4 linked regions of the Anolis sagrei genome follow. The protein of the gene in region 2 interacts with the protein of the main gene of each other region in a pairwise test. Links are inferred from orthologs where the notes say so. Each region holds a gene or a part of one and is shown on either strand. Other genes may lie near its edges.

Region 1 (7,559 bases), on a different chromosome or scaffold from region 2:
AGCTTGAGGTGGGTACAACATAGTTAAAACATGTGGATAAAACAAATGACCATATATAGATAGATAGCTAAAACAAAGATTAAAATACCAATACTAATAAAATGTAAATGTAAAATTCATGGTTTAAAACTGGGTAGATCTGGAAAAAATAGGTTTTAAATTGTGTCTTAAGTGTGCCAGCTGAGCCATGGCAGTCAAAGGGATGTTAAACTGCATTAAATCAACAATGTAATGTATCTTATGCTTACCTCTTACTGTTTTGAGATTTCCCTAATTTTTTTTCCTTTTTGTTCTAAAGAAATCTTCTACTTCTGAAAACCTTGAACTTACCCAAGACAGGTGGTATCTTCTCCTTTGTCATTTGGCTATGTGAGCCTCAGCACTCACACCTCAATGATAGCAACTGAATTTGAACTACCATGCATCATTTGCATTCTCACATTCACACCAACTGCTCTTTACAAACAGATATATCCTCACCTTGCTGAGATTCCTCTTCGGAAGGTAGTTTGCCCACAAACAGTTCTCCTTGCTCAAGCAAAGATCCAAAGAGCCGGCTGCAAATCCGGATGGCGCATAGAACAATCTCCTTTTGCTCAGACTGGGAGAAGATGGGGAAGGAAAAGGTTCGGAAATAAGTGACATCTGCTCAAACAGTTACAAAAAAGTGGGGATAGACACTGGGTTAACTAAGCATTGTGTAGAACAGGCAGTCCCCAGGTTAGAAACAAAATAGGAGTCTATGTCTAGATCTAGGGAAGTCATGCGACCCCTCTATTCTGACTTGGTCAGACCACACCTGGAATCACACTGTGTCCAATTAGGGGCACTGCAATGCTATAGAAAGGTTGACAAGCTAGAATGTGTCCAGAGGAGGGTGACTAAAATGATCAAGGGTCTAGAGAACAAGTCCTATGAGGAGTGGCTGAAAGAGCTGGGCATGTTTAGCCTGCAGAAGGGAAGGCTGAGAGGAGTCATGATGAGGGCCATGTATACGTATGTGAGGGGAAGTCACAGAGAGGAGGGAGCAGGCTTGTTTTCTGCTGCCCTGGAGACTAGGGACACAATGGAACAATGGCTTCAAACTACAGGAGAGGAAATTCCACCTGAACATTAGTAAGAACTTCCTAACTGTGTGCAAGAGCTGTTCAGTAGTGGAACTCTCTCTCTGCCCCAGAGTGTGGTTTGTTGTTGTTGTTCGGGAGGCTCCTTTTCTGGAGGTTTTTAAACAGAGGCTGGATGGCCATCTGTCGGGTGTGCGTTGAATACGATTTTCCTTGGCAGAATAGGGTTGGACTGAATGACCCACGAGGTCTCTTCCAACTCTAGGATTTTGTGATTCTAGGGCTGATGCTGTCTATCCAATTCCATTTTCGGAAACAGTGTCGCAACGAACCCCAGGAACAGGCTTCAAAACAAAGACACCAAAGGAAAAAAAATGGGGGGGGGGGGGAGTGGCTGTGTAATATTAAAGCCATACAACAAAATTAAAACCCCATTTACAGAGCCTTCCTTGAAGCCTACGAGTTAGTTCTAAAGGGTTCTTGTGGGTTTTTTCGGGCTATATGGCCATGTTCTAGAGGCATTTCTCCTGACGTTTCGCCTGCATCTATGGCAAGCATCCTCAGAGGTAGTGAGGTCTGTTGGAATTAGGACAATGGGTTTATATATTTGTGGAATGGCTGGGGTGGGGCAAGGAGCTCTTCCTTGCTGGAGCTAGGTGTGAATGTTTCAACTGATCACCTTCATTAGCATTTGAAGGCTTGGCTGAGCCTGGGAAAATACCCTGTTGAGAGGTGTTAAGATGTGCCTGGTTGTTTCCTCTCTGCTGTTTTGCTGTTATAATTTTAGAGTTTTTTAATACTGATAGCCAGATTTTGTTCAGCCATGAGAGTAAAGATGAAGATCCACCCAGAGGAAAAGTGTTCCTGCCATACATCAAGGGAACCACTGACAGCATAGGGAAGCTGATGAGGAAACACAACATACAAACAATCTACAAACCCACCAGGAAAATCCAACAAATGCTACGTTCAACAAAGGACAAGAGGGATCCTCTCACCTCTGCAGGAGTCTACCGTATACCATGCAGCTGTGGACAAGACTACATAGGGAAAACCAAACGCAGAATTGCCCAAACACGAATCAAGGAACATGAAAGGCACTGCAGACTACTTCAACCAGAGAAGTCAGCCATAGCAGAGCACCTGATGAACCAGCCTGGACAAAGCATTTTATTTGAGAACACAGAAATGCTGGACCACACCAACAACCACCATGTCAGACTACACAGAGAAGCCATTGAAATCCACAAGCATGTGGACAATTTCAACAGAAAGGAAGAGACCATGAAAATGAACAAAATCTGACTACCAGTATTAAAAAACTCTAAAATTACAACAGCAAAACAACAGAGAGGAAACAACCAGGCACATCTTAACACCTCTCAACAGGGTATTTTCCCAGGCTCAGCCAAGCCTTCAAATGCTAATGAAGGTGATCAGTTGAAACATTCACACCTAGCTCCAGCAAGGAAGAGCTCCTTGCCCCACCCCAGCCATTCCACAAATATATAAACCCATTGTCCTAATTCCACAGACCTCACTGCCTCTGAGGATGCTTGCCATAGATGCAGGAGAAATGCCTCTAGAACATGGCCCTATAGCCCGAAAAAACCCACAAGAACCTAGTGATTCCGGCCATGAAAGCCTTCGACAATACATTAGTTCTAAAAGTGGCCCGTGGTGTCGTGAGGGCCCAAAGGCCAGGCTGGGCTGGAGGGAGGCGGAGGCCAAGCACGTGCCCAAGGGTTTTGGAGCGCAGCTCTTCGCAGAAGGAGGGCGACCCTCCGGACCCACCTGCAGCAGCTCCAAGGCCTCAAAGACGCGGTTGGCATGGCTCCGGCTGCTCAGGACCGCCTCCAAACAGGCACCCAAACTCGCCTCAGCTTCAGCTACCGAGGCCGCCATGATCCCTTCTTTGGTTGACTGGGCATGCGCGGGGGGAAGGCCGACTGGCCAATCAGGCAGCCTTTCGACTTCGCCACGCCCAGCACGCACGCGGCTCTTCCCGTAACCAAAGGCTCATTGGTCAATGCCGCTGGGGCACCTGGGAATTACCGAGGACGAGAGGTGGAGAGCTTATATCGCGTTTCAAAAGTGAACAAGAATGCAATGTGCAGTCAAGACAGTATCTCTCAACCCGAGGGTCGGGATCCCGGGGAGGGAGGGGGGGGGGGGGGTGTCGCAAAAGTACATCAGAAAAATACAGAAAAATTCTGTTGGTCATTGAGGTCCTGTTTGCGAAGTTTGGCCCAATTCTATCAGAATGCTCGTTGATTGTAGGCGAACTAGAAATCCCAGCAACTTCAACTCCCAAATGTCAAGGTCGATTTTCCTCAAACTCCACCAGTGTTCACATTTGGGCATATTGAGTATTTGTGCCAAGTTTGGTCCAGATCCATCCTAAAGGGTTCTGGTCCGGCTTACCTATCTCAACGTATCTCTCCTTATGAACTATGTAGGACTTTAAGATCATCTGGGGAGGCCCTGCTCTCAATCCCACCTTCCTCGCCAATGCGTTTGGCGGGGACCAGTGTTGGCACCTCAGCTATGGAACACCCTCCCCAGGGATATAAGATCGGCTCCCTCTCTTCTAACATTCCGTAAGATGGTTAAGACCTAGCTTTTCGAGCAAGCTTTTACATAATTAGACGAAAAGCGAACAGGGGATGACTGTTGATGCAATTGGAGACGCTGAGGATTTGTTTTATCGATATTATTGTTTCTTTTATACTACATTTTAAATGTTGAATTTTTTATAACTGTATTTATAATTGTTTTTAACTGTACCCTGATATTTGTCATGGCATCAAATCGCTGCCTTGAGCCGCCTCTGGCTGAGAAAGGCGGTATACAAATGCAGCAATTAATTAATTAATTGTTTGAGTCCACAGTGCTCTCTGGATGTAGGTGAACTACAACACCAAAACTCAAGGTCAGTGTCCACCAAACCCTTCTAGTATTCTTTGTTGGTCATGGGAGTTCTGTGTGCTAAGTTTGGTTCAATTCCATTGTTAGTGGAGTTCAGAATGCTCTTTGATTGTAGGTGAACTCCCAAATGGCAAAATCAAACCCCAACCCCACCAGTATTCAAATTTGTGCGTATCGGGTATTTGTGCCAAATTTAATCCAGTGAATGAAAATACATCCTGCATATCAGATATTTACATTACAATTCATAATAGTTGCAAAATTACTGTTATGAAGTAACAATAAAAATAATGTTATGGTTGGTGGTTGCCACAACATGAGGAACTGTATTAAGGGGTCGTGGTATTAGGAAGCTTGAGAAACACTGAGTTAAGAGTTAGTGTGCCAGTTGCTGGAGATCTGTAATGTATCCCACTTGGGCCCCTTCCACACAGCTGAATATAATCCCACATTATCTGCTTTGAACTGGGATATATGGCAGTGTGGACTCTGATATTCCAGTTCAAAGTAGATATTGTGGGATTTCTGCCTTGATATTCTGGGACATAGGGCTGTGTGAAAGGGCCCTTCAATCTGCTTCTGTTCGACTGGCTGCCAATCTGTTTCTGGATACTATTCAGAGTGGTGGTCTTTATCTACAATGCCTGGCCTACACAGATTACACTAAGGCCATTCAAAGGACCTATATGAGCCCTATCATAGCGCCTAGATCTAGGGAAGTAATGCTACCTCTCTATTCCACCTTGGTTAGACCACACCTGGAATATTGCGTCCAGTTCTGGGCACCACAAATGAAGAGAGATATTGACAAGCTGGAATGTGTCCAGAGGAGGGCGACTAAAATGATCAAGGGTCCGGAGAACAAGCCCTAGGAGGAGTGGCTTAAAGAGCTGGGCATGTTTAGCCTGAAGAAGAGAAGGCTGAGAGGAGACATGATAGCCATGTATAAATATATGAGAGGAAGCCACAGGGAGGAGGGAGCAAGCTTGTTTTCTGCTTCCCTGGAGACTAGGATGCAGAACAATGACTTCAAACTACAAGAAAGGAGATTCCATCTGTACATTGTTTTTTGTAATAATTGTGCATTGTAATTGCTTATTGGTAATTTATGGATAATGTGTTAAGTCAATTGTTATATGTTGTATGGAACCACTGCTGTTTCTACTGTTTTTACTGTTTGTGAACCGCCGTGAGTTGCCTTCGGGCTTGAGATACAGCGGTATATAAGCAAAGTAAATAAATAAATAAATAAATAAATAAATAACATTAGGAAGAACTTCCTGACTGTGATAACCATTCAGCAGTGGAACTCTCTGCCTCGGAATGTGGTGGAGGCTCCCTCTTTGGAAGCTTTTAAACAGAGGCTGGATGGCCATCTGTCAGGGATGTTTTGAATGCAATATTTCTGCTTCTTGGCAGGGGGTTGGACTGGATGGCCCATGAGGTCTCTTCCAACTCTATGATTCTCTTTCCAGTTGCATCTGGACCGAGAACACATCTTTGTTAACTGAGGCGAAAAACAATTGTTAACATTGACAATGAGTAGAGGTCAGGTTTCATCTCCCACTTTACATCTCTGAAAGTTGGGTGTAGGAGATATGTCTAAGCTAAAACTTTTTGACATTATATTTGAAGATCATAGCTTTTTCCTTAGGGCAGGGCTGTCAAACCCATCAACCTTACAGTTCCCTTCAAAGGGCTGTTGAATCCATAGATTGAAAATATCCCTAGATGGAGGATCCGTAGATACAGAGGGCCAACTACAGAGTCACTGAGTTACAAACATCCGACTTACAAATGACTCCTAGCTCAGAACAAGGCTGAGACAACAGGAAGTGAGAGAAATCTACCCCGAGGAAGGGAAATCCATTCCTGAAAGAGTTATCATGGGGGGAAGAGGTCTCCACTGAAGCTTTCCCATCAATCCTTGTTTTCACAAGCCTTTTTTTTTTTCAAAATCCAATTATCACAGGGACAAAGTGAGAGGAAATCTTCTGAACAGGTGCACAGACAGCAAAGGAAACACCACAGGGACGTTAACTCTTCCCTATGCTATCCAAAGCTTATATATGTTTGTGTGTATGGCTCGAGTTACATTTTAAAAATGTACCTGTTCCAAATTAGAAATTTAACTTAAGAACAGACCTACAGAACCAATCTTGTTTGTAATTTGCAGACTGCCTGTACATAGTTTTTTACATTGTGGGCAGTGATCTTTCATTTTTACCCAATTTGCATGCCTGAATGTTGCTGAATGACAACTCCTATCACTTTTGATTATCTGCCGTGCAGACAGGGGTTGTTGTGCACTTGTGGCTCTGAGGTTGGGGAAACGTTAAGGGACATTTTAAAGTCAGACATCATATCCATAAGCCTTGTATGATTTGAGGCTTTTTACTCTTTGTTGTGGGAGGGACTGCAGGTCATGTGATCAAATTTGGGCTTGTTCAGACTCCAGTTTAGAAACAGTACAGTTTAGACTTCAGTAGGAACTGTATGCTTAGAGACTTCAGTAGGAACAGTTATGTTTTCCGACTCTCGGACTATACAGATTCCATTGGACTTTCAGACTAGACAGAAACTCCATTAGACTCTCAGAACAGAGAGATGCTTTAGATTATGGACTGCTGATTATAAGAAATCCACACAGATAAACTACTTCAAATCCTATCTGTAACTGGACCGATAAGCAAAGTATCTGTATGCTGAATACATTAAGCTTATGAGTAAACCAACTATGTTACCTTTACAGAAGTCTGCTTCTTTTTGTCTCTTGAGAGCATGATTTAAGCCAAGATGTTTTAAGGGTGAGCAGATGTTTTTGGGCAACCAAAACAACACAGCGGCTTTCGATGCCATCGATCATGGTATCCTTCTGGGTCGACCCTCTGGGATGGGTCTTGGGGGCATGGTTTTGACGTGGTTCCGGTCCTTCCTGGAGGGTCGTTCCCAGATGGTGAAGCTGGGAGATGCCTGCTCGGACCCCTGGCCTTTGACCTGTGGGGTCCTGCAAGGCTCTATCTTGTCTCCCATGCTTTTTAACATCTACATGAAACCGCTGGGAGAGGTCATCCGGAGTTTTGGAGTTAGGTGCCATCTCTATGCAGATGACACACAACTCTATTACTCATTTCCACCTACAAAGGAGGCCCCTCGAGTGCTGGACAAGTGCCTGGCCACTGTGGCTATCTGGATGAGGACGAACAAGCTGAAGATCAATCCCAACAAGACAGGTCCTCCTGGTCAATCGTAAACCGGATCGGGGTATAGGGTGGCAACCTGTGCTGGACGGGGTTACTCTCCCCCTGAAGTCACAGGTCCGCAGTCTGGGAGTCCTCTTGGATTCATCGCTTACGCTTGAGGCTCAGGCGTCGGCGGTGTCCGGGAGGGCTTTTGCACAACTAAGACTTGTGCGGCAGCTGCGACCGTACCTCGCAAAGGTTGATTTGGCCGGGGTGGTCCATGCCTTGGTCACCTCTAGATTGGATTACTGTAATGCGCTCTACGTGGGGCTGCCCTTGAAAACTGCTTGGAAATTCCAACTGGTCCAACGGGCGGCGGCCAGGA
Region 2 (6,985 bases):
AGCAATCCAGTTCTATGCTATCCTGAATAAAAGTTCAATGTGCCATATGAAATCAATCAGATCAATGTCCTGACATTTAGTGTATACTTTAAAGGCATTTAATGTATACTTTCATTCCTCTAGCAGCAGTACAGTGTAGACACATGTACTATTGCTCTTTTTGGAAGATGTGTTGCACCCTAAACTGTATCTACCCCGGATCCTACTTTTTAATCTGGAAATAAAAAAAATCTACTTTGTCGAGTTTTGAATCCAAGTTCAAACTTATGCAGAAGAGGGAAAACAAAATGACAAAAGGTCTGGAAGCCATGTCATTTGAGGAACAATTCAGGGAGCTTGGCATGATCTAGCCTTGAGAAGAGGCAGAATGGCCATTTTTCAGGAGTGATTTGATTGTGTATTCCTGTGCGGCAGGAGGACTAAATGGTCCATGTGGTCTCTTGCAATTCCATAATTTTATTTTTCAGAAATGTTCATGAATATAAATGAGAACATATGGACGAAAAATAGCAAGGAGCCCTCTTTTTATACCAAAGTGAGTTGTATGGATCTTAATGAAGTTTAAGATAAACAAAAACAAAGAACAGAACCCAAACTTCCTTGGACATAAGAGGGAATATTAAACCAAAGCATCAGTCAGCTATCAATATCTGTAAATAATGGTTTGACAAGTTTGAATCAGCATCTGAGAACCACTTAAAGGTGGTCTGCTGAACCAAATTAGTATAATCATGGGTTGGATCTTAGTTTATTACCAATAATAATGAAATTAGGTATAAAACACTACAATAATGCATTAGTTTATTGCTCATAAAGGGCTTAATGAGCAGTAAGGAGTTCGATGGTAGAGCACATGTTGCACAGACGTGAGTTTCTGGTTTCATCCCCTCTCCAGATAAACCACAGACCTGATGCCAATTGGAGCAGACTATATTGATCGAGAGGTGGTCTGGTTTGGTTTTGGACAGCTTCTCAAGAGATCAAAAAACTCACGACCCAATGACTGACTTGCATGTTTGAAAGATGGCAGATTTTTCTTTTTGCCTTACCCTCAACAACAAAGGAAATTCCTAGACACTGTTGTTTTTGATCACGTGAGTGATTATTCATCTACTATAGAACTATCAAGTTATGATGTAGAAATCATATCTGGAAATATTTCAAAATGCCTTTGATGTTGCAAAGTAGCATCGGAGTACCTCTGAACCTGTATATAATGCCTTTCCTTATTGTGGACTAACCACAACCAGCCCCGCCCAGTCTGGAACAGAAGCTAAACATTTCCTGGCTGGAGGCTTTATTCAAGGTAAAGTATAGGCTCATGCTTTCTGACATATCATCTAAGAAGATGGATAAATCATAGAATACAGAGATTCACAGAAATTACTTGCATGTACTTTTACAGGTTCTGCTCTTGTTAGTTTAGCTTTACCCCCAAAAGCAGAAATTAAGTACCTAAAGCTTTCAGAAGTATGAGAAGGTTTCTCTGCCAAGCATAACGACACTATATTTGCACAATTATCTAGGACTTTGAGGCAGGGGGAGATTCCTTTTGGACTGCCACCCTTTTATCCCCCCTTCAAATGCATTTTGATCTTCCACAAATGTGTTTCACAAAACCATGAAGAAGAGCTTCAAACATTTCCCATCCACTGGTTTTAAAAGCAGTTCATGCTTTGTTGTTGTATACTTTCAAGTTGTGTGACGCAGAGCAAGACTATTACGGGACTATTTTTACCAATTATTTTTTTCAGCTGAAGGTTGCCATTGCCTTCTTCTGAGGCTGAGAAAGTGTGACTTTCCCAAGTTGGGTTTCCATGGCCATGCAGGGATTTGAAGCTTGGATCCTAGACTTGTAGTCCAACAATCAAGCCACTACATCACACAGACTCGAATACCTGCAATGTACATCTTAAAAACTATTTACACAGCTGATAACTGCAGTTATCTCATCTTATTCAGTTGAACTTTTGGGAATCCAACATATTTTAGAGTTTTGTTGCAATCAAAGAAGCAGCATGCTTCTTTGGTTTCCCATTTGTTCATTTTTTCTGCATCACAAAATGAATAACCTTATTAGATTTGGTTGCATTTGTAACATTTCATGAAATTGGGTTGTGTTATTTCTTAGTACCATCAGGTTGCTTTTTCATTTCATTTTCTTTCTTTTTAACAGAAAGACAAAGGTTTCCTTTTTGCTTGGCTTGATTTTTAAGCAGAAATTGGAGTTATATTAGATCTGTTTATCCCCAGAGAAACATCACATTGTACAATATATCATGCTCTATTACATGGATCATTTAAAATCATGCTACAGATGTAAGTTGGAAGATGAAATCCCCCTCCATGCTTTACACATTTTCATCTGGATGGTCCTACCTTGTCACGGAGATCCTCAATAATCTTGTAATAATGGCTGTAGTCCTTAGCTGGACTACTAGGGGCCTGCTTCTGGTGCCAGTCTCGGATCTTGACCTCCAGGTCAGTGTTTGCTTCTTCCAGAGCCCGCACCTTATCCAGGTAATTGGCCAAGCGGTCATTGAGATTCTGCATTGTCACCTTCTCATTTCCAGTAAGGAGGACTCCATCTCCACCACCATAGTCAAAGCAACTACCAAAGCCACCACCATAGCCTCCACCAGCACCTCCACCAAAGCCACCACCATAGCCTCCACCAAAGCCTCCGCCAGCACCTCCACCATATCCTGAAGCCAAGCCAACACCTCCACCAGAGATGAATCCAGAACCATACCCGCCTCCTAAGCTTCCTCCATAACCACCTCCATGTCCTCCTCCAGAAGAGACATACCTAACAGAAGAGGAGGACATCCGGCCACCACCTCCACCATGGCTGCCGGAGGACACACGGCTGGAGCCACCCCCACCTCCAAAACCCATACCACCACCATAAGAAGCAGAGGAACTATAGTAGGTAGACATTCTGGGAACAATAGGTGAAGGTTCAGATGCAAGACTGTTACTTGGCTTGGCTGAGCATGCAAGAGCTAGGCTTTGAAACTTTGCCGGGCTCCATTTATAGTTGTCATTGTGGGGCGTGTTTATGCTAACAGAAAGCACACATATTGCCAAAACACACCCTCATGGGTGAGGCAAGCTGAAAACATGTGCTTGCATGGAAAAAAGTAACAGCTCATCCAAAAGAGGGGCTGTGCTTTCTATACATATTTTTCTTTAAATTCAATGAAACAAAAGATGTTCAAAATTGTCTCAATTGGCATCCGAGATTGGATTACTCCATTCGCAATCTCTCTTTCTGTATCCATATCTTTTTTTCTCTTTCAAACATTTGATACAAAGTGAAGGAAATACATACTGAAACTTCATTAATAGAGAAGCCATGCCAATGGAAACTATTGCATGCAGAATGAAATTATTTTAGCAAAAATTCCCCTAATTTCCCAGATGTCCATACTACCTTCTCTGTCTTTTAGCAACCAATTTGTGGCTCATTTGCTGTGACATTTCTCTCTCAACAACCTCTCTCCCCCCTCCAATTTCCATCTGGATTTTGAAAATGCACATACTTATTTATAAATAAAAAGTGGGGGTGTTTGGTAACATCTCTTTTAGACTATTGCATTTATTTGATTTACTGCATATTTCTATCTTACTTTGGGGGCAACAAGCCAAAGGTAGCATGCAGGGCTCTCCTCTTCTATGTTTTATCCCCATTACAGACCTGTGAAGTGGGTGAAGTTGACAAACAGTGACCTGTCCAAAGAAATTCAGTGAATTCTGTTGTTCAGTGGGAACTAGAATATAGAATTCATAAGCCTCAGATGAATACCTCACATTGATTCTTCTGTTAGTGACTGAAAACTGCAAGAATTCATTGTGTTCTATGCAGTTTATTTCATTTTAATTTAGGCATTTGTAAGAGATTTTCCAGGTAGAATGGGTCCTTCATCTGTTTTGTATTTCTTCTTCAAGATATACGCTGTACTTCTAAGTTCTGCAAAAGCTATGTGAAATTTCGAAGTGAAAACCATTATGATGAAAATGGACCTCATACTAGTGGAAAGTAGATTTATTTTTGAGAGCACTATGAGACACTGGATGCACCCAACATTTCTTCTAGTGTTAGAGCTCTCTTTTAACTCACTCTCTTTTCGTGCCTCTCTCCTACTCTATACCAATTCTTTCATTCACCGAGCGATTGCACAAAGGAGCTTATGTGCATTGGAGACTTGGTAATCTGTCAATCAAGGTGAAGATGATGGATACTAAAGTGATAGAAGAGCACTTGCCTGCTTTCATTTCTTCCCATTGCTGCCATGATCCAGTTTCACAGACACTCCTACCACACCCAAGTTGGGAACTAGGGTGCAGACAGGCTGGACTGGCACTAATGTCAAGTAAAGGTTTGGTTTGCTTCACCTGGAAGGTCAAGCGCTCTCCTCCCTGTCAATCCATTTTACGTCAATCCACTCTAGATTTTAGTCAGAACTTTCAATACACAATCCAAGATGCTAAACTTATTTTAAAAATATGGTCAACATTTTGGAGAAGGGCTAGGCTCCTCTAACACAGAGTATGTATATAGCTGGTGTCCCAAAGCACAAAAAAGGACCAAAGTTTCTTGGCCTGATGCACTTTGGTCCCAATGCATGTTGATCTCAATGCACACTGGTCCTATTATAAATTGGTCCTGATACACATTGGTCACTTATTGATGTCCCTGTATAATAACATAATGGCTGAATGCTGACATTACAGAATCTTACAAAGTCAGATGTTCCCACACAAAATCTTAGACAACATCTTTCAAACCTGGACTAAAACTCAAGAGTATCCATTGTTCCAGTGTCATGAGGGCTGCCCATCATGACTGCTGCTCCCAGTGCTAGATTTAGGACAAATGAGGCCCTGGGCTAGTTAAGTTATGAGGCCCTTACTTGGGCCCCAAAGGAGGTAAGTCCAGTAGGCCTACATTGCCTTCTTTATGTCACACTCCAATATATTATCAACTCTATCATTATGTCTGGAATTGCTCTGAAACAGAATACCTTCAAATGTAGAATTTCACTACATAAGTAAAATCCATAGTAAAAAAAAATTGTGGGGGGGGGGGGGGGAGGAACATGGGTCTCACTGGTCAACAAGCACACCAAAGCATAATGGTAAATCAAGCAGTGGCTGCTCCCTTTCATAAACACAAATATGTTCAATGTGCTACTGCATCCCCCTCCTTCCTCCAAGATGAGAATTGCACTTGTACAGTATAGAGAAGACAAACAAATGCCTGTAGCACAAAAATTCCCTGATGCAAAATTGGTACAGAAAGATAAGAACCACACGTCCACAGAACCATACAAATTAGTGCTGTGATCATAGAAAAACCTTTGTTTTTGCTGGGTTCTTTTTGTACAACCTATAACCATACACTTGAATGCTTATAGAAGTGCCAATTCTGCACCACATGTTTTTCCAGGTAGAAAGTCACTCTTTATTTGCATCCAAGGCTAAATTAACCTATACAAGCATATCTTGGCTAATGTAGAAGATGTGTTCCTGGACTTTAGTTGTTTAACTGAAATGTTGGAACCAGAGGAAGAAATAACATGGAAAGAATGGGGATGGGTTCCTATACAACTAAAAATCGGTTCAACATATTTCAGCAAATCTTTTATCCAAAACTAATATTATGCACATAAGAAATGAAACAACCAAATTAGGTGCGCCTTGCATAAGTAAACAAAAAACATTTTGAATCTCCTAGACACCACTTGAAAGTTCTTCCAAATCATTCAGAAATGATTTTCTTTCCCTTTCAAGCAGGCCTGTAGCCAGGATTTTGATTCGGGGGAGGGGGGGGGCTGAGTCTGAGTGAGAGGGTCTACCCTAGCAAACCTTTTGTATCATTACTCCATGGTGATCAAATCATGATATGAATAAACATAACAGTTTAAATAATGTACCAGTAAGGCCTTCTCGCAGACCACCATGAGAATTTGGGGGGGGGGGGGCTGAAGTCGCCCCCCCCCCCAGCTACATGCCTGCTTTCAAGAGTCTCTTTTCTTCTAATGATTTCCATTCTGTGGTGAAACATATAGTTCTATCATTTTTCTACATGTCAGTCTGCCTTGCCCTTTTTTTTCTGTTTTGCTTTGAATGCTGCTCAGAAAGCGATTATGGAGACAGCTGCTGTTTAAACTGGCTGCTGTATCTAAGCACACACAGCTAGAGCAGGATCACCTACAATAAAATCCAATTTTTTCCTATGTTAAATTTATTACATCGTTTATAGTAGACATAGTACTATTATCCAATACTCAAATTTTGTCCAGAAAATTTCTCCAGCTGATCTTGATCATCCTCTCAAAACTTCAGGTAAAACGGAAAACAAGAGAGAGAGGCTGGGGGAGGGGAGGCAAGGCACCCACCAAAAGACTTTATAAAAAGTAGCTTTACAGAAGCTGTGTTAACTGAAGCATATACAGTGTTCTCTCACTTATCACGGGAGTTACATTCTAGGACCACCCACAATAAGTGAAAATCCGTGAAGTAGGGATGCCATATTAATTTTAATATTTATACATTATATATTTTATATATTATTTTGTTACCCGCACTTCCTTACCCACCTCCTGGTCCATCCCAAGGGTGCCTGCCTCCCTCCCTGGCCTCCACAGACCCCGGCAGAGCCTCCGGAGCCTGGTCTGTGGAGGCCAGGAAGGCAGGCCTTCCCCACCGCACCTCAGATGCTGCACTTCCAGAGTCCCTGACCACCACTGGATGTAAATATTATATATTTTTAATTAATATTTTCAAAAAAACCCAAAACAGCGAGTCCGCTAAAAGCGAATCACGAAGTAGTGAGGGAATACTGCATGTCCTCTTTGATGCAGGTTAGAAGTGATGCATCCATATCAGGACTCATGCATGAAAATGGGTCTCCACTGTCACTTCAATTAAGGACAGAAAGTGAAAAAAAAAATGTGGGGTCTCCCCAAGGAACCAAAGG
Region 3 (7,133 bases), on a different chromosome or scaffold from region 2:
CCCTCCCGCCTAGCCTTCAGAAGAAAGGTAAAAACTTGGCCGTGGGATCAGGCCTTCAGAGAATAGTGCACTGCAATTAACAGATTTGGAATATATGGAATGACTGTGGAACACCTTAGACTACAACTATGGATGGTGTGATTTTAATATGGAATTGAATGTTTTAAAATGTTTAATATGTTTTAAGTTTAATCTAATTTAATTTTAATTTTTTTGAATTGTCAAGGCCCAAGGCCACTGGGAGCAGGAGAGGAGGCAGGACATGAGAGGAGCCTCCCACAAGGATGTTTTAAAAAATCAAAAAAAATCTGGGTGTCCCTTGTGCAACATCCTTGAAGACAGTCAATTCTCTCATACCAGAAATGACTTGCAGATTCTCAAGTCGTTCCTTACACACACCCAAATCATATTTACAGGAGCTCCCGGTGGCGCAGTGGGTTAAATCCTTGTTCCGGCAGGACTGATGACTTGAAGATTGAGTTGCTGACCTGCAGGTTGCCGGTTCGAATCCAACCCGGGGAGGGAGCGGATGAGCTCCCTCTGTCAGCTCCAGCTCCCCATGCAGGGACATGAGAGAAGCCTCCCAAAAGGATGGTAAAACATCAAAACATCCGGGCCTCCCCTGGACAACATCCTTGAAGACAGCCAATCCTCTCACACCAGAAGTGATTTGCAGTTTCTCAAGTCGCCCTGACACTCACACACAAAAACAGGGTCTTATTTGATGTGTAAGATAAAGATATTAAGACTATTTCCAAGACTTTTGTCATTTCTTGTTACATTGGTGTGATATATTGGTGTCCCGAAAAATTTGGAAAACTCTGCTCTACCCAATAACTGTGTAAACTGGCCAGGTTGTCCGAATGCCCAATCACCTTCTCCCAAAGCAGTTACTCTATTCCGAACTCAAGAATGGAAAATGAAATGGCCCTTGAGCGATCTAACCACAATTGCTGCACAATTTGAAAAGGCACAAATGGGAGGCAAAAGGGAGAAACGTGCCAAGAGAAAGGCACGTCAAGCCTACCCTGACCAGAACCTCCTTCGGTCTGGAAACCGATGTCCTCACTGCAGGAGAACATGCGGATCAAGAATAGGGCTCCACAGACACCTATGGACCCACCACCAAGACACATCTGGAAAACCATCATCCTAAAGCTAAGAAAGATCGCCTAAGTAATTATAATTATATTATATATATTATATTATTTATTATAATTATTATTGTTGTTGTTTTATTTATACTTTGTTTATTTATATTTATATTTTACTAGCTGTACCCGGCACACGTTGCGGTACTCAACCTTCCCTCCCTCTTTCTCTTCTTTCTTTCTCTCCTTCCCTCCCTCTTTCTTTCCTTCCCTCTTTTTCTTTACCTTCTTATTTCTTCCTTTTCTAACTGTTTCTTTTCTCGCTTCCTTTGCTCTTTGGTTCCATCCTTCCTGGTCTCTTTCCTTCCTTCTTTCCCTCCCTCTTTCTTTCTTTTGTTCCTTCTCTCCTTCCTCCCCCTTTCACTTTTTTATTTCCTTCTCTCCTTCCTTCCTTCTCTACCTTTCTCTTTCCTTCTCTCCTTCTCTCCCTCTTTCTCTCCCTCCTGCTCTCCTTCCTTCCTTCTCTATCCTTCTTTCTTTCCTTCTTTCTCTCCTTCCCTTCTTTCCTTCCTTCCCCCTTTCTGTGTATGTATTTTGTGTGTGTATATGCATATGTGTGTATATATGTGTGTCTGTGTATATATATAAGTGGTTTTGCACATGTAATGTATTTGGGGGGTGGCTTTTTAAGTCCCTTCTGCTGTGTTTCTCAGTGTTTTTATGAGTGATGGTCACTTGTTCGTCTGTTAGGGGTGTAGTGTCCAAATTTGGTGTCAATTCGTCCAGTGGTTTTTGAGTTCTGTTAATCCCACAAACAAATATTACATTTTTATTTATATAGACTAACCATCCCCTGCCACACGTTTCTGTGGCCCAGTTTGGTGATCTGGAAAATAAGTGTTGGTTTCTAATATATGTAATTTCTTTATGTTTCTGGGTAAACAGCATTTCTTGTTGTTTCTTTGTCAGTGTTGATGTAGAGATTATCTGGTTTGCCTACTCTGGAACATGCAACATATTATTGTCCTTTAGGGGGTCCCTTTCAAATCTATGATACTATATCTCTCTGTGTGTGAATCATATCTATTTCTATCTATGGCTGGATGGCTCTTTGCCCTGGTGAAGAGAGTTGAACTGGATGGCCTTAAGTATTTTCTGTTGGTCATGGGGGTTCTGTGTGGGAAGTTTAGCCCAATTCTATTGCTGGTGGGATTCAGAATGCTCCTTGATTGTAGATGAACTATAAATCCTAGTAACTACAACTCCCAAATGTCAAGGTCTATTTCCCCCAAACTCAGTCTGTGTTCATATTTGGGCATATGGAATATTTGTGCCAAGCTGGGTCCAGATCCATCATTGTTTGAGTCCACAGTGCTCTCTGGATATAGGTGAATTATAACTCCCAAACTCAAAGTCAATGCCCACTAAAACCTTCTAGTGTTTCTGTTGGTCATGAGAGTCTTGTGTGCCATGTTTGGTTCAATTCCATAATTGGTGGAGTTCAAAATGCTCTTGGATTGTAGGTGAACTATAAATCCCAGCAACTACAACTCCCAAATGACAAAATCATTTTTTTTAGTGAAGGACATACATTGGATTGTTAGGTGTCTTGTGTCCAAATTTGGAGTTAATTCCCTCAGTGGTTTTTGAGTTCTGTTAATCCCACAAACGAACATTACATTTTTATTTATATAGACTAGCCGCCCCCTGCCATGCGTTGCTGTGGCCCACATGGAGGTTCTGTGTGGGAGGTTTGGCCCAATTCTATCGTTGGTGGGGTTCAGAATGCTCTTTGATTGTAGGTGAACTATAAATCCCAGCAACTACCACTCCCAAATGTCAAGATTCTATTTTCCCCAAACTCTACCAGTGTTCACATTTGGGCATATCAAGTATTTGTGTAGAGTTTGGTCCAGATCCATCATTGTTTGAGCGATCTCTGGATGTAGGTGAACTACAACTCCAAAACCAAAGGACACTGCCCACGAAACCGTTCCAGTATTTTCTGTTGGTCATGGGAATTCTGTGTGTCAAGTTTGGTTCAAATCGTTGGTGGGGTTCAGAATGCTCTGTGATTGTAGGTGAACTATAAATCCCAGCAACTCCCAAATGACAAAATCATTTTTTGAGTGAAGGACATACATTGGGTTGTTAAGTGTCTTGTGTCCAAATTTGGTGTCAATTGGCCCACTGGTTTTTGAGTTCTGTTAATCCCACAAACGAACATTACATTTTTATTTATATAGACTAGCCACCCCGTCACGCGTTGCTGTGGCCCAGTCTGTGCACATGTGTTTTGTGTGTGTATATATGTGTGTATATATTTGTGTATGTGGTTTTGCACATGCATTGTAATGTAATGTTTATTATTTAGCTTTTTAAGTCCCTTCTGCAGTGTTTTTCAGTGTTTTTATGAGTGATGGTCACTGGTTGGTTTGATATGTGTCTTGTGTCCAAATTTGGTGTCAATTCGTCCAGTGGTTTTTGAGTTCTGTTAATCCCACAAACGAACATTACATTTTTATTTATCTATAAGATTATTATATTTATATTTATGGTTACCTTGTAACCCTACTTTCCAGATAACCCTCGCACATTACCAAGCCTTTTGTCATTTCTTGTTACATTGGCCTGATACATCTACGTGTCCCGAAAAGTGTGGAAAGCTCTGCTGTACCCAATAGCTGTGTAGAAGCAGGAATGCCCACAACGGGGGTTTTAAGAGTGGGGTCTCTCTCGAAAGCGGGTCCCAGGCGAGTGGGGCGAGGGCAGGGGAGCGTGGCGAGCGGGGAGGCGTCTTGGCGACCTTGCCGCGCGCCTCCTGCCGGGCTGTGGGCCTGGGCAAGGTCATGCTTTGCAGCGAGCTGCCTGCTTTTGATCCCGGGGGAAACCTGAAAACTCTCGCATTCCTGGCATAGCAGCGCCGGGCGCCGCCTCTCGCGCAACCCAGCCTCCCTGGCTCTCCTTGCAGCTGGAGGAGGAGGAGGAGGAGGAAAGAGGGAGGGAGGGAGGGACACCATTGAAAGTCGCCTTCCTTCCAGCAGGGGGGAAAAGGAGGAGGGAGAGGAGGCAGGCAAGCTGGTCACATTCACACACACAGAGAGAGGCAACCTCGCATTCACCAAGGCGCACTGCTCAAGGAGCGCACGCACGCACAGCACTCTCCGCCCGGGCTTTGTGGCAACTGGTCGTCCTCTCCCCCGCAAACCAGAGGAAAAGCACCGAGTTTGCGCTTTTGGGAGGCCCGGGACTACGTTGGGAGAAGGCAAGGCTGTGCTGCTGCTAGTATGGTCCGGTGAGTATTCCCCTCACAGCGGAGCCTTCATTCATGTCTTCCCAAAATGTGTGTGTATGCGCCCATTCTTCCCCAGCTTATTGCAGCCTTTGCAGTTCTTGGAGGGCTCACTCAACCCAAGAAACTCGCAATGTGGTGCCTTCTTTAAAAGCGAATCGTATCGTCAGTGGTTGTCGAAGGCTTTCATGGCCAGAATCGCCGGGTTGTTGTGAGATTCCTGGGCTGTCTGGCCATGTTCCAGAAGCATTCTCTCCTGACGTTTCGCCTTCATCGATGGCAGGCATCCTCAGAGGTTGTGAGGCCTCACAACCTCTGAGGATGTCTGCCATCGACGCAGGCGAAACGTCAGGAGAGAATGCTTCTGGAACATGGCCAGACATCTTAGGAAATTCATATAACAACTCTACAATGGTTGGGTTGTTGTAGGTTTTTTGGGCCATATGGCCATGCTCTGGAAGCCTTCTCTCCTGACGTTTCGCCTGCATCTATGGCAGGCATGCTATGGTTCATAGGCTGAGTAAATCCATGTCTTCTTGAAGCCTGGGTGTTATGCACTCTTCAGCAGTCCTGATTATTCTTTGGAGGCTAAATACATCTGTGTCTTTTGGGGTCGAAATGTCTTGCACTCTTTAACAGTTCATACTAGCCTTGATTCTTTGAAGGCGAAGGCAAAGCATATCTATTGGAGTCAGAATGTGATGCCCCCTTTAAGAGCCAAGAGGGATGATTCTTTGGGAGCAAAAAGTCAGATCTGCACTGAATTTATGATATGGATTGACACTGACCACATTATTTATTGAGTTGTTTATTTATATCCCGCTTTATCTCTCAAAGTGGCTCACAATCCAAAATATTGCAACTTAAAATATACAAATATACAATAGTAAAACAGTATATCATTATTTATTATTATCATATCAGTAGTACTATATTTAATGTATTAGTATTATATGACAATATTGTTACTATATACTACTATATTGCATCATGTATTATTAGTATATTGTGTTGCATTAAAATATAATATGTATCTATTTCATATATTAGTATTATTTTACAATATTATTACTCCATATTATATTGCATTACAATATTATTATATGTATATGTATATATATATATATATTAGTATTCTTATATTACACTATTATTACTATATATTACTATATTATTAGTATTATATTGCTTTACAGTATTATTATATGTATATATATTAGTATTATTATATTACTATATTATTACTCTATATTACTATGTTTTATTAGTATTATATTGTATTGCATTACAATATTTTAATGTCATATGTATATATTAGTATTATATTGCAATGTTATTACTATATATTACTATATTGTATTAATATTGTATTGCATTATAATAATATTATTACTATATATTACTATTACTATATTGTATTATTAGTATTATATTGTGTTACATTCTAATATTATTAATATTATATGTATATATAATATATTATATTATTAGCATATAACAATATTAGTAATATATATATATATATATATAATATTATTAACTTGTACTATACCACTATATTGCAATATTATTACTAATATTAGGAATAATGTGTTGTTTGGCAGTGCAGGTCCAGCCATAGTCAAGCCATGCCTGAGGTCAAAATGTTATGTACTCATTGAGAAGCAATAGTAGCCTTTAGTGATTCTTGGAAGGCCAAGTCACGCCATGGTGAAGTGGGATGGTTGCACTCTTGGTTTTCGGGAGAGGTTTCTTCAATCCCTTTGGCTGGCTCTGGTTCTTGCCCGCTTTCTTTGACTGGGTTGTTCTTGAGAAAGTTGGGCAAGCAAGGCCTCAATGTACAGCTGGAGTGAGCGAGGGTTGCTTTGAACTCCTTCCTGTGCCATTCTTTGCTTAATTCAATGTGCTTGTTTGGAGGTGTCGGTTGTTGAGTTGGGGGTTCAGTTGTGAGTATGCATCCATCTATACATTGTGCAAGCATGCTTTGTGGTTATCTGGAGATATGTCTAGTTTTGGCTTTTGTCTCTTCCCGGCTGCTGCTGCTTCTCATAGCTGCGCGAGCCCTGGCTTCTCACTTCGCAGGAATGTTAATTGCAATCCAAACCCGGATGATGTCAGCGCAGAGCTATGTGGAAAACAAAGAGCGGCGGCTGCAAGCGAGAAGTAGGCAAGCAGGCAGGCGGGCAGCAGGCGGCAAGGCAGAGGGACCAGGCGGAGGGCTCTCCTGCTCTCTTGCCTTGGGCTTAGAAAGACTGCTTTGGGAAAGTCAGCTGGAAAGAGGAGAAGGAGGGATGCTTCCCTTGGCAGCCATTGTAACTAAGGGTGCCTCTGCACCAGCCATGGGCAAACTTTGGTCCTCCAGGTGTTTTGGACTTCAACTCAATGAAGTTCAACAGGGACAAATGAAAGATACAGAATGGGAATGCCTGGCTGTACAGCAGTCCATGTGGAAAAGATCTGTTGCACCATGAGCCAACAACATGGTGCAACAGCTAAGAAAGCCCATGAGATTTTGGCCTGCATAAATCAGAACATAAATCATGCCACCCTTCTGTTCTGCCTTGCTCAGACCACACCTGGAATTACACTGTGTCCAATTCTGGGCACCACACTTGAAGGGAGATGTTGGTATGTGTCCAGAGGAGGGCGAGTCTGGAAAACAAGCCCTATGAGGAGCAGCTTAAAGAGCTGGGCATGTTTAGCCTGCAGAAGAGAAGGCTGAGAGGAGGCATGATGAGGGCCATGTATGT
Region 4 (6,074 bases), on a different chromosome or scaffold from region 2:
ACTTCAAACTGTAATCAGATAGGCCTGATCTTAAGAAATTCCATGAGTATTAATGAGACCAGCTCCTCCACTGAATGTTCTGAGGACTAGAGCCCAAATTTAATATCTTAAACCAGGCATTCTCCCAACTGTGGCCCTCCAGCTGTTTGGATCTCCAACTCCCAGGATTCCTGACCATTGAGCAAGCTGGCTACGTCTTCTGGGAGCTGGAGGCCCAAATAGTTGGAGGGCTGGAGTTTGAGTATGCCTGTCTTAGAGATTAGGAGATCTGAATGCCTCCAGACTATGTAGATTGTTATAAGAATTGATAACATAATAAACTGCAAAAGGCTGTCATTTAACTCAGAAGAGCATTTTCACACCTACTACTAATATTTTGCGAAAAGTTTTATTTGTAGACAATTTGAAAACCAGTAACATTTTTTTAATTTGCTCTGAATCTTGAGAGGTCAGAGCAACAACACACTAGTTTAACTAAGAAAATTATCAACAATAAAAGTGGAGACACATACAAGACCGTAACGCTTTACACTTTTAGAGACAGAGCATGAATATTCTGGAGGAGAAGTTCTGCACTAGGACGTTTGGCAACATCAGATTTCCAGCAACTTTCAATTAACATTTCAAGCTGTTGTCCAGTGGCTGAACCTTTAAACACAGCTGCAGTTAGTGAAGGGCGCAAATTACAAGCTACTACAGAGTAGAGTACATACTGGCGTTCACCCAAATAAGGTTCTTGCTGTGTAACCATTTGCCAGAGTGTGATAGCAAAAGAGTAAATGTCTGCCTTAGGAGTGACTCTCTCACCTTTAAGGAGTTCAGGAGCACGATGGGTGTATGTCCCACCTTGTTGAGAAAGTAGTGGACTTGATGATTCAAGATCCTGTAGTTTTTGGGAGCATCCAAAGTCTCCAAGTTTGCAAATATTTTGTTCAGTGATGAATACATTAGCAGGTTTTAAATCCAAATGCACAATCATTTGTGAATGTAGAAAGATGAGACCTGCTACAATGTCACAAGAATAGCCTAATGCCTCAGTTATGCTCAAAGATACATGGCCAAATCCAAGCCCATCATCCTTACCCTTTTCTGTCTTGCAGTCAGTCCCATAGATAACGTGGTGTAGAGTACTGTTACCTACATATTCCATTATTATGGTACCCAAAGTGTCCTGATTAGCAGGGGCACATGTGCTAGCAGCTACAATCCGTACCACATTATTATGGTCAAGATGTGCCACATTTAATTCTGCCCAGAAACTCTGCCGTGATGCCAGACTGTTCTTACTGCTTTTCTTCACCTGCTTTACTGCTACTGTAGTTCCACGATAAATAGCCTTGTAGACTGAACCAAAGCCACCTGATCCCAGGGGGTGTAGCAAACACAACTGATCCCAGTCTATTGAACACCAAGCTAGACGAGTTGGTAGTCGGCGAATCCTGGGTGAAACACCTTCAACACAAAAAAACTTTTCACCTTTGGCTGGAAACACCAAGGGACTACTGCAGGGCCGTGCATTCACAGATGGAGAAAATTGTAGATGAAGAAGACGATTATGAGGAAGAGGAGATGGCATAATTATGGAGGAACAACCCTTGGCAAACAAAATAAGAAGCTTCTTTCTTTTTAAAAAAAGGATGCAGGACAATTAAGCAGTATTTCATGAGTTTGCTCTGTTTTGCTCCCAAATTTCTTTCATAGAACCTCTGCATCAAACTTACAGCCAACAAGCTCTGATTAGTTTCAGATGAGGATGATTTTAAGCACTACTGCCTACTAACTTTGGCCATTAAAGGGAACTGAGAGTTCAACCCTAATTCCCAAAACACTTACGGCATGGTCCTAAAAATGCTTAATTGGAAGTAAATTCCATTGACTTCTATAGGAATTATTCCTTCATAACTCTACTTTGGAAAAAGTTTTCTTATCACTTTGATATTAGATCTTTGTATAACTTTTCTTAGCTTCCTATAAATCTGAAAAAAGAAGCAGAAATGAAAGTGTGTCACTTCTTGTCCACCTTCTTTGTCATTAACAGTTGTAAAAAGGCAGAAATTCAGCAATCAATGATCTCTTAATGCAAGAGAAAAGTGTAACTGTTGAATTTCAGTGTGTTGCGTATCATGTTAAGGACAACTTTTTTTCAGAAAAATATCATAAAGGGCAGACCACCTTAATAGGTCCACCACACATACAGGGACAGATAACAGCTGTGATACTAACTTTGACAAGGGAATTATCTATCAATGACAACATTATTAACTACCTTTACCCACAGATCCATATGCTCAAATCTTAAAACAGCATCAGGGATGTGACCTGATGGATGTGTGTTTGGAGATCAATTGGGATATGACCATGTTTGTCATGAGTTTCTGAGCTGCACCTGACAAATTGGTGTTGGAGTCAGGTGACTCCAACATCAACTCCAAGCCCATTTCCACGAACTCAGCTAGTTAGTCTGATAGGCAGCTGGGTTGTACTAACAGAATCCCCTCTAGAGAAGAAAACTATGTGTTTTGGAAAGGACTGCAGATGCTAAACTGATAGTACATAATTGCCACTTTTAATGTAAAATGAATTTTATTGAATGATGGGCAAATTTATGATGTTAGAATGTGGCTGACTGACAAATATTTGGTTTACGGAAAACATTGGTACAAGGCTACTAAACACAATTCATCCTATGGATTTCTTGATGTGCACTTAATATTAACAAAGGAAGTCTAGTGCAAACTTTCTACACAAGGGGGCAACCTTGTCTTGTCTTGTATGTGACCTGTTGCAAGAATAAGTTTGAAAGGAACTACTTAAATGAGCTTTGTGATGTATTTAGTATTGTAGTGCATCTTTCCTCTTGAAAGTAAGAACAATATTTGTTTTCTATTTATACCCTGTTTCCAATGTATTCCAGAATATTCTATGCAAATCTAATCTCTGAAAGCAAATCAAGCAAGTCAACTTTTCTCCGATTGTATACCCCAAATTCTGTCATCTGTGCTCAGTAAACGGAAGTCTCAGTAAATGTGTCTTTATGTTGGGATTTGGAGATAGTGAAAGTAACAATTTATTTACTTGTCATGATATTAGAACCTGAGGCTAGACACCAATGCTGAAAAATTCTAGCCGGATAAAGTACATCTTTGCATAGTTGGGATGGGAATCATGTCTCTCTGCAGATATTTAATCTCCCAGCATCCCTAACTGGTAAAACTAGATATATTGTTATCTATAGTTCAGCAACAACTTGGGGGCTGCATAATTTCCAACTATGGAAAATTTCACACTCAGAAAATAAACACCATGATATGTTATAATAGTCATTATCTGGTATAGTCTTACAAGGGGATCAAACAAATTTGTGGAAGCCAAAGGCTATGAATGACTACTACTCAAGAAACTCACTGAGTGACCTTGTGCCAAATGTGTTAGAAAAATGTACTTGAGAGGTTTCCTGTGATTATAAAAGTTTGTCCAGAGCCATGCATGCCATGTTGACTTCACTGGAAGAAAAGCAGTATATAAATATAAATTTTATGTTGAGGCAGTTTACCTTTACAGGCAGTATGGTGTAGTGGTCTGTGTATTGGATTAGAATTCTAGGAGCCAAGGGTTAAATCCCCACTCCCAGTGGCTGACCTTTGGGCAAGTCGTACTTTCTCAGCCATAGACAAACACGAAATACACTTTTTAGGAAACCCTTGAAGGGGTTGGAGTCAACTTGAAGGCACATGACAACAAATGACTATCAGTTACTAGGAACATCAGTGAGGTATGCTGCTGCAACTATACCCTTATGGGCTTTGCTTGGCCACTGTGAAACAGGAGGCTGGACTACTGTAGCAGGACTCCCTTTGTGATACCTGGGTGAGCCTCCTGCTAATTCATTTTTTTCCTCCAAATTCCAGTGCAATGAGAAAGCACTCTGCAGTTGTTTTTAATTCTGTGACACCTCACAGTAGTAAATTGTAGTTACTGAAGTTTCTGCCTTAAGGTAGAATCAGATTCATTCTACTGAGGAAGGAAAGGCAGTAGAGATGACGTAACTAGCTTTGTTTTCCTTTCTCATTTAGCATTTACCACACCTGATATTCCCTTGTCCCTATTACTGGAATGTTGTAGCAGTGTCAGTTACAAGAGCATTATTCAAATTGAACATAATTGATATGGCTAGGTCTTCACTACTGAAGATTAATTTCAAGAGATATTCTGTAAACCCCTGTGGAAAATCTCTGGTTGGAGGGAATGTCCTTTACTCTGTAGTAATATATGATGATACAAAAGAGGCTAAGAGACTCTAGCGCCTATGAAAAATTATCAGACTGACCCTTGGTATGGCTCTGTATATTAACATCATACAGATGACTACAAAAAAGGAATTCCTACTCTAAAGCATACTCATCAATCCTTTAATTATTGTATTTGTGTCCCAAAATAATTGATTATCTGTGATGTACAGAATTCATATAAGCCTCTAATAATTTTTGTTATTATTGAAATGTCACTCATTTTCAAGAGTTGTTTTCAAGACCTTTGATTTGGGCAAATCATAGACCGAAAATACCACCTTTTTTAAAAAAAATAGTTCTCAATTTACTATTGATCTATGACAAAATGTTTTGAGAATATAATTCTCTTGTGTTTTGGTAACTGTTTGCATAATCATACACACAAAAACAATACACATATTTTACATAACTAAAACCATTCTGTAGTTTTATTGATATTTTGTGGAGTTCACATATTTTTGTACAGCAAACATAACACTGTAGGCCACAAGAAGCTGCAGCACTATTGTTTAATAGCAGCAAGTTATATTTTTATCAGGGTATGTGGACAATAAATAGTCTGTTTCTTTGGATATGAATGCCTAAATTGAATTTTTGCTGCAGCTTCATAATGTGATAGCTATTTTACAGAGCTTATACACAAAAATATATATGCAATCTTTTGTCTATATTTTATACAAATACAACAGTAGTTTGTGAATACATTTTAAAGTACATATACATGATAAGCAACACATTTTCCCATATCACAGGATAGTAATTTTTATTGAAATACACAAATTCGGTCTGGAATGCATTTTTCTATTTTGACTCAAAATCTGTATCATTAAACAGTTTTTTCCCCACAAGTCCAAACATTTTCCACTATCTAAAAATATAATTTCAGCAACCCACATCATGTTCAGATGTAATTCTTTTAAAATAGTTTTCATTTGCCAAGATCGAATGGGCCCTTTGAGACAAGCATGTTCTTCACTTCACACCATATCAAAAGCCCTCTTTTCATTTTCATCTTCTAGTTTTGAAAATAGGCTTATTTGGGTATAAATTTGCATGTCCAAGATTCTCATTTTGCAAGTGCATATGAAAACATGGTGATATACAAAATTCATTAATAACAAATTAAGTCACAGTATAAAAATATATCATACATCTATAAATCTAATATAGGCCTTTCTCTATGGATAAAAATACATCAGTCTAAATGAGACAGAGGTCTGTAGCACCATGAGAGGAGCTGTATCCCAAGTTATATTAGCAGCATGATCCACTATAATATATTTGCAGGAGTGTTTCTGAGAAGATAAAACATTCATTCTGGTTCAACTGTACCACTGAAGCTTATATTGAAAATGTTTGCATGCCATAAGCAATAGTTCTGTGTCAATTTTAGGGTTAAATACTCATAACAACATGGCCTTTTAACACACTACAACCTTATAACTGTTAAGGGATTAGAACCCATTTTTTCCACATTATTTTAAATTGTCTTCTCTGTAATGTATAACTGGTGATAGTTTTTATTCTATACTGACATGATACAAATAGGCAGCTGAACCTACACAATGTATTTCATAGCAAATAATGTGTAGGTTTTATTACTAAGAGGCATGTCATTTTAAGCCGCTAAACCAGTGTATGAGACAAATAAGAGCTTAATCCTTCTCTTTATACAGGCACAGGATCAACCCTATGCTATGACAGGACATAGTATTTTCAGAATACTGCTTTTTGTAGAGATTGCAATTCTATGCATATTTACTTAGAAGGATATTTAATTGCATT

Evidence for each region.
Region 1: the proteins of keratin, type I cytoskeletal 13-like (region 2) and NOC4L interact in binary tests that used the Homo sapiens proteins (3 or more experiments, as listed by UniProt). The two-hybrid records come from large-scale screens. The link is inferred for Anolis sagrei from reciprocal best matches to the Homo sapiens genes KRT15 and NOC4L.
Region 3: the proteins of keratin, type I cytoskeletal 13-like (region 2) and AMOTL2 interact in binary tests that used the Homo sapiens proteins (3 or more experiments, as listed by UniProt). The two-hybrid records come from large-scale screens. The link is inferred for Anolis sagrei from reciprocal best matches to the Homo sapiens genes KRT15 and AMOTL2.
Region 4: the proteins of keratin, type I cytoskeletal 13-like (region 2) and MOS interact in a two-hybrid assay, tested with the Homo sapiens proteins (2 studies listed by BioGRID and IntAct). The two-hybrid records come from large-scale screens. The link is inferred for Anolis sagrei from reciprocal best matches to the Homo sapiens genes KRT15 and MOS.

The regions. Positions count from the first base shown.
Region 1 is NC_090034.1:37,461,612-37,469,170, forward strand, and holds the start of NOC4L (nucleolar complex protein 4 homolog), read right to left. Parts: upstream 3,006-7,559; 5' UTR 2,970-3,005; coding exon 2,859-2,969; intron 602-2,858; coding exon 481-601; intron 1-480.
Region 2 is NC_090026.1:39,015,367-39,022,351, reverse strand, and holds the start of keratin, type I cytoskeletal 13-like, read right to left. Parts: upstream 3,019-6,985; 5' UTR 2,941-3,018; coding exon 2,380-2,940; intron 1-2,379.
Region 3 is NC_090023.1:225,789,420-225,796,552, forward strand, and holds the start of AMOTL2 (angiomotin-like protein 2), read left to right. Parts: upstream 1-4,133; 5' UTR 4,134-4,386; intron 4,387-7,133. UniProt on the Homo sapiens protein: Regulates the translocation of phosphorylated SRC to peripheral cell-matrix adhesion sites. Required for proper architecture of actin filaments.
Region 4 is NC_090024.1:49,588,152-49,594,225, reverse strand, and holds MOS (proto-oncogene serine/threonine-protein kinase mos), read right to left. Parts: upstream 1,577-6,074; coding exon 527-1,576; 3' UTR 507-526; downstream 1-506.